3 linked regions of the Nothobranchius furzeri genome follow. The protein of the gene in region 1 interacts with the protein of each later gene in a pairwise test. Links are inferred from orthologs where the notes say so. Each region holds a gene or a part of one and is shown on either strand. Other genes may lie near its edges. The genes, in order: myod1, id1 and id2a.

Region 1 (4,320 bases):
TGAGTCCATGAATGCTAATTTTCAGTGTGACATAGATCTGTCAGGCTTTCTTATCAAAGTGTTTTCCTGTCTGTTTGCTACTGGCGGCAAATGCAGGAAATGGGGTAGGAGACTATTTTCACATTCAGCTTGTATGTTAAACTCAGTTGGACAGATCATATTTAACAAATTACAAGTAAAAATTGGTTTCTTTTTGAACTTGGGCTTTAAACTATTTAATGTTAGCTGGATGTTAAACCAGTCCCAGTAATAATTTACCCATGGGGGAAATGGATAAAATAAGAAATATTACCAAGAATTGGATGCGGTTCTTTGGAAACTGCAGTTTCACATGTCTGTGAACGCATGAGGTGGGACATGTGAAACCGTGAGATTAACACCTTCACAGGAATGCTCTTTCAGATTCATTTCAGTCACTGCAGATGAAATTCTATGTCTCACATTACTGGGCTGGATGTGCTCATGTTCATCGGTCAGTTTGTGGGGGGTTAACAAACCTGGAAACATGATCATGTGTTGAAGCTTTTAACATAACCAGACTTTTCATTAACAAACTCCCCAAAAATCAGTGGATGTTTAGTTTTTTGGCTATTTTCAGAAAACAATGTTTTTGAATGGCATTGTGAATATAAGGCAGCCTTACCTTAAACCGGTTTGTGTTCAGTCAAATTTAAAAAATGAAAAGATGAAACATGTTTAAAAATTTAAAAGAGTTTTCTTCATTCAAGACTTTCAGGAAAAGAGTACAGTTTATGAAATTCTCATCTATGATTCGGATGACGTGTTGCAGATGTTTCTAAAATGCTCTCATATATAAAAATAACAAATAAATAAATAAATCAGACATCAGGTCATCATCCAGAGTCCAGCAGCAGCTGTTTACTGGCAATAAAGACCACGATGATGATGACGGAAAATATTTTTTGTCTGACTCTTGTGTCTCACTTTCCCTCACACACACACACACACACTCACACACACACACACACACACACACACACACACACACACACACACACACACACACACACACACACACACACACACACACATACACATACACACGCACACGCACACACGCACACGCACACGCACACACACGCACACGCACACATGCATACATGCACACATGCATGCCTACATAGAGACAGAGAGAGAGAGAGAAAAGAAAGAAAGAAAGAGAGAGACAGAGAGAGAGTAGAGAGGGAGGGGGGAGAAAGAAAGAAAGAGAGGGGAGAGAGAAATAGAGAGAGGAAAGAAAGAGAGAGAGGGAAATGAAAGAAAAGAGAGATAGAAGAGAAAGAGAGAGAGAGAGAGAGAGAGAGAGCGAGAGAGAGAGAGAGAGAGAGAGAGAGAGAATATTAGATGCCTGTTGAGATTTTGATGTTAGGAAAACAAATGAAGTGCAATGACGTGTTGTGTTCAAGTTGTGTAAAAATTATAATTTTTATAAAGTCCTACTGATCTGAACAAGATTTATAGAAAAAAAAATACAAAAAGTATTCAGGTTTTGCGAGGTTATACGATAGTTTTACCTCAGATGCAGTCTTCCAGGGGTCTCTGCCCTGCTGTGTTATAGTTTGTTTAGTTGTGTTAGTTATTGGAAACCAAAAGGCAATATCATGGCTCCAAAAGAAGACAAATGTTATGGTTCCTTTTTATTGGACAAATGATGTCAGAGACACTTCATGTATGTTTTTCAAGACTTCTAAAACACATTTCATGTTAAATATTTGTGTTGAAAAACATCGAGCATATGACTGAATCAGAGCATTTTACTAATACCGTTTCACATATTTGTGCTGGACTAGGATTAGTGTGTTTCTCGGGTCATTTAGATCAGTACTGAAGATATAAAGTAACTAAACTGTTCTGATGCTGAGACTGCTGTGAGCTCAACTCTATCAGGTCTAGTAAACGCTGAAATCATGTCTGGGTTCTCTGATAAAAGCTCATGAGTACAAATCTTTCCTGTTCCGATCTCATGAAAGAGGAGATTCATTTCAGATGAATCCTGAATCTCAGCGCAGGAGTTCTAAACGCTCATGATTGGATAAGATACGTTTTTTGAGCTGATGAGTCTGGATGTAAAGAGGTTCAGTCTTTTCTTTTTTGTGTGTGATGACGTGTTTGATCCCTCAGAGTTGAACAAGGACTCAACAGCTGACTCTTTGATTTGTGATGATGGACTTGACTGTCGTTTTTATTGCTTCCTCTTTATGTTTCGTCCCCTTTACACACACACTCACACCCGACTGCACCATTGGTCACTTGGGTCGTGGCCCCGCCTCCACACTGACTGCTATATAAACCCGGACCAAGCCAAAGCAGCTGAGGTTACACAGACTGGCCCTTTAAACGCTCTGTCATTTTACTATGTTCTGGTCAGATGAGTTTGAGATTTGCGAGTCGTCCTAGGAGACACTTCATGAGGATTTCCTTCTAAAGTCTGATATCAGAGGAGTGTCACAACAAAAAGACTTTCTGCTGCTGCTTTCAGGGAGTCGTTCAATGGATTTGTCAGATTTTCATTTCCCTCTTTCATCTACTGATGACCTCTATGACCCCTGCTTCAGCACCAGCGACCTGAACTTTTTCGATGATTTGGATGCCCGGCTGTCACACGGCGGCCTGCTGAAGTCAGAGGACCACCTTCATCACCACGTCCCATCATCAGAGGAGGAGGACCAGCATGTGCGGGCCCCTGGAGGCCTCCATCAGGCGGGCCACTGCCTGCTGTGGGCCTGTAAGGCCTGCAAGAGGAAGACAACGCACGCAGATCGGAGGAAAGCAGCCACCATGCGAGAAAGACGGCGGCTCAGCAAAGTCAACGATGCATTTGAAACTTTGAAGCGGTGCACGGCTTCCAATCCAAACCAGCGTCTGCCCAAAGTGGAGATCCTACGGAACGCCATCAGCTACATCGAGTCTCTGCAGGCGCTGCTGCGGGCCGGCCAGAACGACAGCTTCTACCCGCCGCTGGAGCACTACAGCGGGGGGTCGGACTCCCCCGGCACCCACTCCAACTGCTCCGACGGCACGGTGAGTCTGGGAACAGCTGAAGGGTTCATGTGCTGCCCCACGAAATGTAAGGAATGTGACGGGAGATTTATTTTGGGCCACGGTGATTAATCTGGACAAATGCAACCTTTAGCATGGATCCCAGTGGATTTCAAATGTTTTGCACCTAAACAGAAAGTTTGTCAAAATGTTGTCTTTCAGTTACAAAAAAAATCTTTTTTTGTTTTATTACTACAGAATTGACTAATATTAAAGCAAAAGGTGTTATTTGATGCTGAAGTTATTTATTTCAGGCTGAAAACTTTATGTGCTTTACTTGATTTGGGTGGTGGTGAGTATTATCAGCTTACTGTTGATGTGTCATATTTACCAAAATGTTATTTGTCATCTCTAATCCCTGGACCGTTCTTCTGACTTAACGTAACATTTTTATCATTTTCATCATTTCATTGAGCAAGTAGCGCACATTAGAGTACCAGGAGGGGAAATGTTTAACTCTGTGAGAGTTACCGTGGACAAAAACCAACATTGTTGATTTAGTTGTTTTTTTAATCAAATCAAATTCTTCTCTTTCTAAATAATAAACTGAACACCAGTTTTTGTTTTATTTACACATTTAAAAACAACATATTATATATACATATTATATTTAGACATCTCAACTTTATGATGTGGGGTGAGAGCACATCTTTAATAATAATAAAATTAATCTTTTTTTTTTACAGTGCAAGACATGTTCTAAAGAAATCACTAAATTATACTCATTAAATCCAACCAGTGTGTGTGTGTGTAATCACAGAGCTGTTGTTAATCATAAGATTTGTTTTAACTTGAACATATTACTTATTCAAAACAGTGCTAAAAATTAATAATTTTAATGAACTTTTGAACCTGAAATGTCTCTTTTTGTCCATCTCTACGTGTTGTGGGTGTGAGTCTGAGTAAAGCTGAGGTTTTAAACACTCACTGATGATTACGTTTTATTTTCAGGCGGATTTCATCTCACCATGTTCGAGCAGAAGTGAAAACAGCGATTCTTCTTATGTCAGACAAACAGACGGTGAGCTCATTTAGCACGTCTCTATCTACCGGAGTCAAAATGTGTGCATCTGCTACTTTACATTAGATTTCATATTATTAACATTAACAAACAGATCCAAGGGTCAGGACATTTCTTTAGTCTTTTATTTCAAAGATCTCTTCTTAAATAGAACTTCTTTTTTATTTAAACTCTTTTTGCTAATTTCGTATAAAATAGAAACAATTCTGAATTAATTCATTAATTCACATTTTCTTTAT
Region 2 (3,066 bases), on another chromosome or scaffold:
ACGGCTCATTCTGGAAGGTACTGAAAATGTCAAAGGTAAAACTGCTGAGATTGCTTCTGTGAGAGGGATTTAATGGAAAGAACATGTTTGGTGTCGGCCATAGAACAATCGAGATACGACCCTTTGAGTCTTCATGAAAGTTGAAACAGTCTGTGGGACTTTAAAATGATCTACCTGCGCCCTGAAGAGTCATACCAGCTTTGGTCTTTTGATCTTTAAAACAACATAAATAGGTAAAGTGGATGACAATAAGCAAAACTATTTTCTGTTGATATTCTGAGAGTTCAGCCTAATAAAACTTTTGTTTGTAGAAGTTTTCCTTCATCTTTAAAGGAGATCTGGGAGCTGAGTGGAGCTTCAGGAACCACAGGGACAGATTTAGTAGTGAAAGTGGGCTGACTGGAGGAATCCAGCGGCTGTCTGTGTGAGAATGTGGTAACATCATAATAAGGAGTCCTCCTCCTCCTCCTTTGTCGCTCCGCTGTTACCCGGCTGTCCTTTACTCTGCAGGTGCGGGGCGGTAATCTCATCCCGCCGCTTTAAGGTGATAAATGGAGGAGAAAAGGTTCCAGAGCCAGTTTGTTCTCAGGATCCTCCACGCAGGTGAATGGAGGAGCGCGAGCTTCCTTGTTTGACATCTCCACAGAGACCGCCCGAGCGGCGCCAGGCTGACAGGCGTCAGGGCTCGGATGAATGGGTGACGTCACCACGCTGGCGCCTGCCAGTCTGCTCGGGCTTGTTTGGACAATCTGGGAGGAGGGAGGGAGTGATGTGATCTGAGTGTGCACACATGTGAAGGAATCTGCTGCGTTCTGGGAGAATAGACAGTTTTGAGTTCTTCTGCTGGACACATTTAATGTTTAATAACCAGGGAAGTGAAATCAAGCCTCGCCCCCAACAGGTTCACCTTCACCTTCCCCGGTTACTGTCCCTTTGTCCGCCACATCTGCAGCACCAACTATTGTGAGAAGCAAATCTGGGGCACTGTGGTAGCCTAATTGTCAGCGCCATTCATCCCATTCACTCCGTCCCATCCCACACACCCTACCCGGCATGCACCGCCCACCCTCCGTCCCCAGGCAGTCTACACCTGCAGAGTACCCAAGCCGCGGACAGCTGGATTCCCACATATTACCCATAAAGACACACATTTGTTTCCATTTGTAACGCCATCCTTCTAACAGATTGTAAAGTCTGATAACCAGTCGCGCATCCTCATTGGCTGAGAGAGACGCACAGCACCGCCCTGTCAACACAACCGCACATCTCTCATTGGTTGACTGCTTCAAACTGGACCGCGCAGCCACGCCCCCTGCTGCTGCATGCCTATAAACCAGAGGAGGTTCCTCCATGTCAACTAGACAACTGTCAACACTGACTGAGAAGATCTCTGAGAGGAGAATACTCTTGACTTACGCCTCCTAATCAGCACAACATGAAGGTTGTTGGATCTACCTGTGCCCTGAAGACCAAGGTCGGGGGAGAGATCGGCCTGTCCGAGCAGAGCCTCGCCATCTCCAAGTGCAAGATCCCGCTGCTGGACGAGCAGATGAGCGTCTTCCTCCAGGACATGAACAGCTGCTACAGCAAGCTGAAGGAGCTCGTGCCCACCCTGCCCACAAACAAGAAGGCCAGCAAGGTGGAGATCCTGCAGCACGTCATCGACTACATCTGGGACCTGCAGGTCGAGCTGGACGAGCCGGAGAAGAGCCGCCAGCACGCCGTCAGCGGCGCGCCGCGCACTCCGCTCACCACGCTCAACTCGGAGCTCGCCAGTATCTCAGTGGAGGTAAACATCCAGTCAGTCACACCTGTGGTAACATACCTGCGTGGCTTACGTTTAACGTTTAAGTCGATGCGCAACATGCGTGCGTAAAAGCTGGTTCGCCATCTGTGACAGATCATAGATTCAGTGTGTGTGTGTGTGTGTGTGTGTGTGTGTGTGTGTGTGTGTGTGTGTGTGTGTGTGTGTGTGTGTGTGTGTAGACTACATGTTCTAACCTCCTGGTGTTTTCCTTCTCCTTCCTGCAGAACGGATGCTCGGACGACAGGATAATGTGCCGCTAAGATCCAGTGGAGCACCTCCCCATCATCCCACCGTCTGCGCCCGCCAACCAGAACCGACAAGGCGACTTGATGTGAATCCACATCTAAATCCTGAGCCTTGAACTGTGTAGGGACGTTTGAAACTCCCAACTGTTAGAAAAAGGACATCCTCAGGCCGAGATGGTCTCAACCAGCTCTCGATTCCTCCGAGGGCTCCTGGGACCAGAGGAGCACCCGTGGTGTCCAGATGCAGAAGACCGGGTTAGTCCGGGGGACCAAGACAAGTCCAGAGCAACCAGCGCTGCTCGTAGAGTTTTACGTCTCTGTTACACTCTGTATAATCACGTGTACATCATATACAGATCTCAATATTTTGTGAAAGGAAAGCTATTTCTCAGATTCCTGAGCGACCAAACTGTATTGTATATTACAATGCCACATATGTGAAGATATTGTTTCTTGCAATGTACTTTATTTGCGTTTTTATTAAAACAAGAACACTATTTTTGAACAAGAATGCCCGTGTTGTGTCTGTTGATATGAAACCAGAAGGAGAATGAGACAGATGATGTAGTTCTGAGGCTAACTCTGACCTCTGCTGTCAGAAGCTGCAGTCATCCAGGTGCCACCAGGCTTCAGCTGCAGGTAGACTAACATAAAGGCTGTGCGGGTCCCTACAGCACGGTGTCAGGTCAGGGGGAGAGTTTGTCACTAACCAATGCATTAATTTCAGACGTGATAAATTAAACATTAGCTCAAGCGTTCATAAAATGCTCGGTTTAGGGGTAAACACCGTGAAGCGGAGTCCCCGCCGGCTCCGCGGGGGTTAAAGCGGCTCTGGTGTGGAGATTTATTCCGTCTCCCTGGTGCGATGTTTTTCCCATTTCCCTGCGGTGCGATGCGCACAGCTGCAGCCCGGCGTGGCCAGTGCGTGATTGTGTTTGTGTGATAGCTTTGTGCCAAGGGCAGGGGAGGGCGGCGGGGCCCAGACTGAGCGGCGCCGCGGCACACCTGGGGAAG
Region 3 (3,705 bases), on another chromosome or scaffold:
TGGAGTCTGGTCCTCCAAACAACTGTTCCTTCTGGGAGATGTAGTCTTTTAGATGACATGGGTCACATAAAAACACCTTACTGGACTCCAATTGTCCCTGATGTCAAATCAGCGCGCGCGCGCCTCTGGATCAGCCGATTTTGCGCTCCACACCCCCAAATATCCCCCCTTAAAATGAAACATGTTCACGTTGTGTTTTTAATTTATTTTGTATAAAAAGGTACAATTTACATTACTTTTATAAAAAGTTTCAGCATAATTAAGTACAACATTACACTTTTTGCAGAAGTTTCAAATTCCTGCAACTATACAAGATTTTAACTCCCGGTGAGAGTTCACAAAGTTTCATTTGATCCTTTTTTTGTTTTCTTTCAAACATCGTCCAGTCCTTCATGTGCCAACAATTCTGACAAGACAAGACTAAACCTTTATTATTATTAATATTATTATTTTACAGTAACTAACCAGGTTGCCTGTTATGTACACGTTCCCACCTCCGCAAAAAAAGCGAAGTTCAACAAGGAGAATTGGGGGACACAAGGGGTGAGGGAACGGGAGTTAATCCTTGTGATTCCGGAACATAATGCGCCTTCCATTTCCAGAAAGGACCCACAAATAAAGAAGTCTTAAATTAAATAACAAGGTGTCCAAACAGAAAACACATCACATAAAGATTGTCCCATAATAAGCAAAAAAAAAAAAAAAAAAAAAAAAAAAGTCTCTTGATTTCAGCAGAAGTGGAAAAAGAAAAAGTCCAGGCCTGGAGGACAGAGAGGTTGAAGAGGTGGGGAGGAAAGTCCTGCTCCCCAGGTCCTGTGCGCGCGCGCACGCGTGTTTTTCTGCGTCTTGACCAAACACCTGCAAAAGATTGAGAAAGAGAGAGAGGCGTGTTTAGAAAACGCACACAGGGCAGAGATCCGGACAGACTGGCGCCAGGGAGGAAGCCGCAGTTTTTTAACATTTAACCAAACACTCCCAATGCTAAGCAAACCCTGCGCTCCAGATGTACACACACACACACACGATGGGAACGGGGGAGGGGCCGCGTGCACGCACGCACTTTTTCGCACAACTTCAGCCTACAATCTGGGGAAGAATCAGCGTAATTGCCGCTCAGCTGGCGCCTACCCACTTCTTGTACCAATTATGTGCAGACATCGTAGTAGCAGTAATCCAAACAGCCATTATTTTCCTGTTGCAGATGCTCTTCATTACAGACACAAGAGGCAACACCACTAGGACAACAGTAGAATGGGGGGGGATTTCTTTCAGATCCAAACTCAAAATCTCATTTTTTTTTAGGATTATTTTGTTTTTGGTCGATCTAACTGCGTTTCTTTCACACCAACACCGAGAAAAGACGCATACTGAAATCATTACAGCAACGTGAGACGTCAGCAGGGGAACAAATGGATTGGTGAGTGGTAATTCTATTCCATTCTGCTCTAGCAGACTGGGAGACAGGCTGGAAGAAGCCCTGGACAGACTGCAGCAGCAGACACGAGGACAGCCTACTTACCGCTTTAACGATGCAGGGTCCGGCTGTCATCTGTCATCAGCTCTGACGGCAACTCCGGGGACTGAAAACAAACAAACACACAAACCAAATGTTAAAGTCTCCGCGCAGACGTCGGTTCAGTCAAGGTGCAACAATCTGGGCGGATTTTTTTGTCTTTGTGAACAAAAGGAAGACAAAAAGCCATTTTCTTTCGCCCCCAACAAGCCATTTTGTGCGCATCGGCAGAGGCGCGCCGTTTCTGCGCTCAGATAATAAAAAAGACACCTTAGTGGATCTGTGCGTGTGCGCGTGTATGAGAGTGTTTTCAGCTCCGGTGTAATTACCTGTAATGACAAGATGCTGATGTCTGTGTTGAGGGTGGTCAGGGGGGTCCTGGATGGAGTCTGCCCCGGCCGCGCTGGGTGATGCAGGCTGGTGAGCGCCACGCTGGAGTCCAGCGCGATCTGCAGGTCCAGGATGTAGTCGATGACATGCTGCAGGATTTCCATCTTGCTGACGTTCTTGTTCTGTGGGATGCTGGGCACCAGCTCCTTCAGCTTGGAGTAGCAGTCGTTCATGTTGTACAGCAGGCTGAGAGGGTCGTCCACCGGGGTCTTGCTCCGAGAGATTCCCAAGGAGTGCTCCGAAAAATTCGCGTTGTTTTTCCGGAAGGATCGCACGGGGCTTATTGCCTTCATTCTGTCAGGAAAGTTAGGAGGCGTTTGCGTCCGCTCTTCTTTCTGGTAAGTCCTGTTTTAGTCAGACGATCAGCGATCAGACTGGATTACCTAGCTGTCAGTGTGGTTTATATAGATGACAGCCCGTGCTTGTGACGTGGGCGGGTCAAACGCGCTGATAGGGAGTATCCAAGCTGTCACTTAACGTGTTCTGCACCAACTATTGGCTTCTCTCGCTCGAACCACGCCCACTCTCCATCACGTTACCACTGGCAACGCATGTTGGAGGCGGAACACAGAGAGCGCTCCAGCAGCTCCGGAGGGCAATTGGGAAAATTAAGCCCTTACCTGTTTCTGCTCAAGAAAATTAATGATGGATATGAGTGGACAGGAGCAAGACAAGGGGACGTTTTGGTGTAAATCGTGAAAGCTTTTGTGTATTTGAACTATTTAAAAGCCAAACGGGCTTTTTAAATCGCCTTTGTGATCGCCTTTCTTGTGGATGACAGACTCAGATGTTTGGCGATCTGGTCACCAAGCTCAGGCGCGTCTGATCATCCCTAATTTACATCAGCCCGCAAGTTTGTGAGGAACCAAAATCCCAGAGGGTCCATCAGGACAATAAAATCGCTTTTACCTGCAGAAAAAAAAATCCAATCTTAAAGCGTTTGCGCTTTTACGCGCAAAACGTGCGTAAAAAGTTTGGAGACGCGTTTAATAGTAAATTTGGCGTATACAGTGAATAATAATTTGGAAATATAACAGAATCTAAAATATAATAAAACGTATCCTGTGCACCTTGATGGCCGTCGGCATTGTGGAAATTGAAAAATGTGACACTAAGCACGTGAAAAAAGTGATTAATAACAATTGACATTTTAATGCTTCCTGAATGAGCCATTTGTTTGTTGGAATTACACGCTCCATTCTTCAGCTGGAGTTGACAGGGGTGCTGTTGGAGCCGCTGCAAAGTAATTACCCCCAGGGGCCGGTGAAGGCTTTTGGGATGTGGATTGGGGCTTTAGGTTTGATCCATGGAGCAACCCACGCGTTCCTAAGGAGATGGAAACTACATTTTCATGAGTGTTAGAAAATATAATTTCATTTTCAGGTAATTTTAATATACTTAACACACCAGAAAGAAAGAAAACAAGCTTTTGCATTATAAAATGCCGATATAGATCGGAGATGCTGGAACCCAAATAAATGTTCTATTCAGAAAAACACAATCTGTGCTTCTGTTTTACGCGCGGTTCTGTTCCTCCTTTAGTTGTTGTTTTATGCATTTCTAACATAATCTGAAACTCCTGCAGTCTGCGTCCACATCTGGCGCCAAAGAATTGTTCCATTTTCTCCCGTTCTTCCCATCGCTCCCACAGCTGTGAACTCATTTCGCACGACGCCCCTGACTGATGCCTGACAGCCAGGTGATGAATTGGCGCAAGACCACATCGGTGCAAATCTGAGCGCCCCACTGGCAGCAGCAGCAGCCTCACCCTGCCTTCCCTTCCCTTTGCTCTCCTCCCCTTC

What was found.
Region 2: the proteins of myod1 (region 1) and id1 interact in a two-hybrid assay, tested with the Homo sapiens proteins (5 studies listed by BioGRID). The link is inferred for Nothobranchius furzeri from reciprocal best matches to the Homo sapiens genes MYOD1 and ID1.
Region 3: the proteins of myod1 (region 1) and id2a interact in a two-hybrid assay, tested with the Homo sapiens proteins (2 studies listed by BioGRID). The link is inferred for Nothobranchius furzeri from reciprocal best matches to the Homo sapiens genes MYOD1 and ID2.

The regions. Positions count from the first base shown.
Region 1 is NC_091749.1:52,557,135-52,561,454, forward strand, and holds the start of myod1 (myoblast determination protein 1 homolog), read left to right. Parts: upstream 1-1,436; 5' UTR 1,437-2,511; coding exon 2,512-3,042; intron 3,043-4,011; coding exon 4,012-4,081; intron 4,082-4,320. UniProt on the Homo sapiens protein: Acts as a transcriptional activator that promotes transcription of muscle-specific target genes and plays a role in muscle differentiation. Together with MYF5 and MYOG, co-occupies muscle-specific gene promoter core region during myogenesis.
Region 2 is NC_091743.1:40,070,981-40,074,046, reverse strand, and holds id1 (DNA-binding protein inhibitor ID-1), read left to right. Parts: upstream 1-1,335; 5' UTR 1,336-1,435; coding exon 1,436-1,789; intron 1,790-2,031; coding exon 2,032-2,067; 3' UTR 2,068-2,563; downstream 2,564-3,066. UniProt on the Homo sapiens protein: Transcriptional regulator (lacking a basic DNA binding domain) which negatively regulates the basic helix-loop-helix (bHLH) transcription factors by forming heterodimers and inhibiting their DNA binding and transcriptional activity.
Region 3 is NC_091758.1:30,331,828-30,335,532, reverse strand, and holds id2a (DNA-binding protein inhibitor ID-2a), read right to left. Parts: upstream 2,415-3,705; 5' UTR 2,197-2,414; coding exon 1,843-2,196; intron 1,581-1,842; coding exon 1,524-1,580; 3' UTR 1,520-1,523; intron 859-1,519; 3' UTR 546-858; downstream 1-545. UniProt on the Homo sapiens protein: Transcriptional regulator (lacking a basic DNA binding domain) which negatively regulates the basic helix-loop-helix (bHLH) transcription factors by forming heterodimers and inhibiting their DNA binding and transcriptional activity.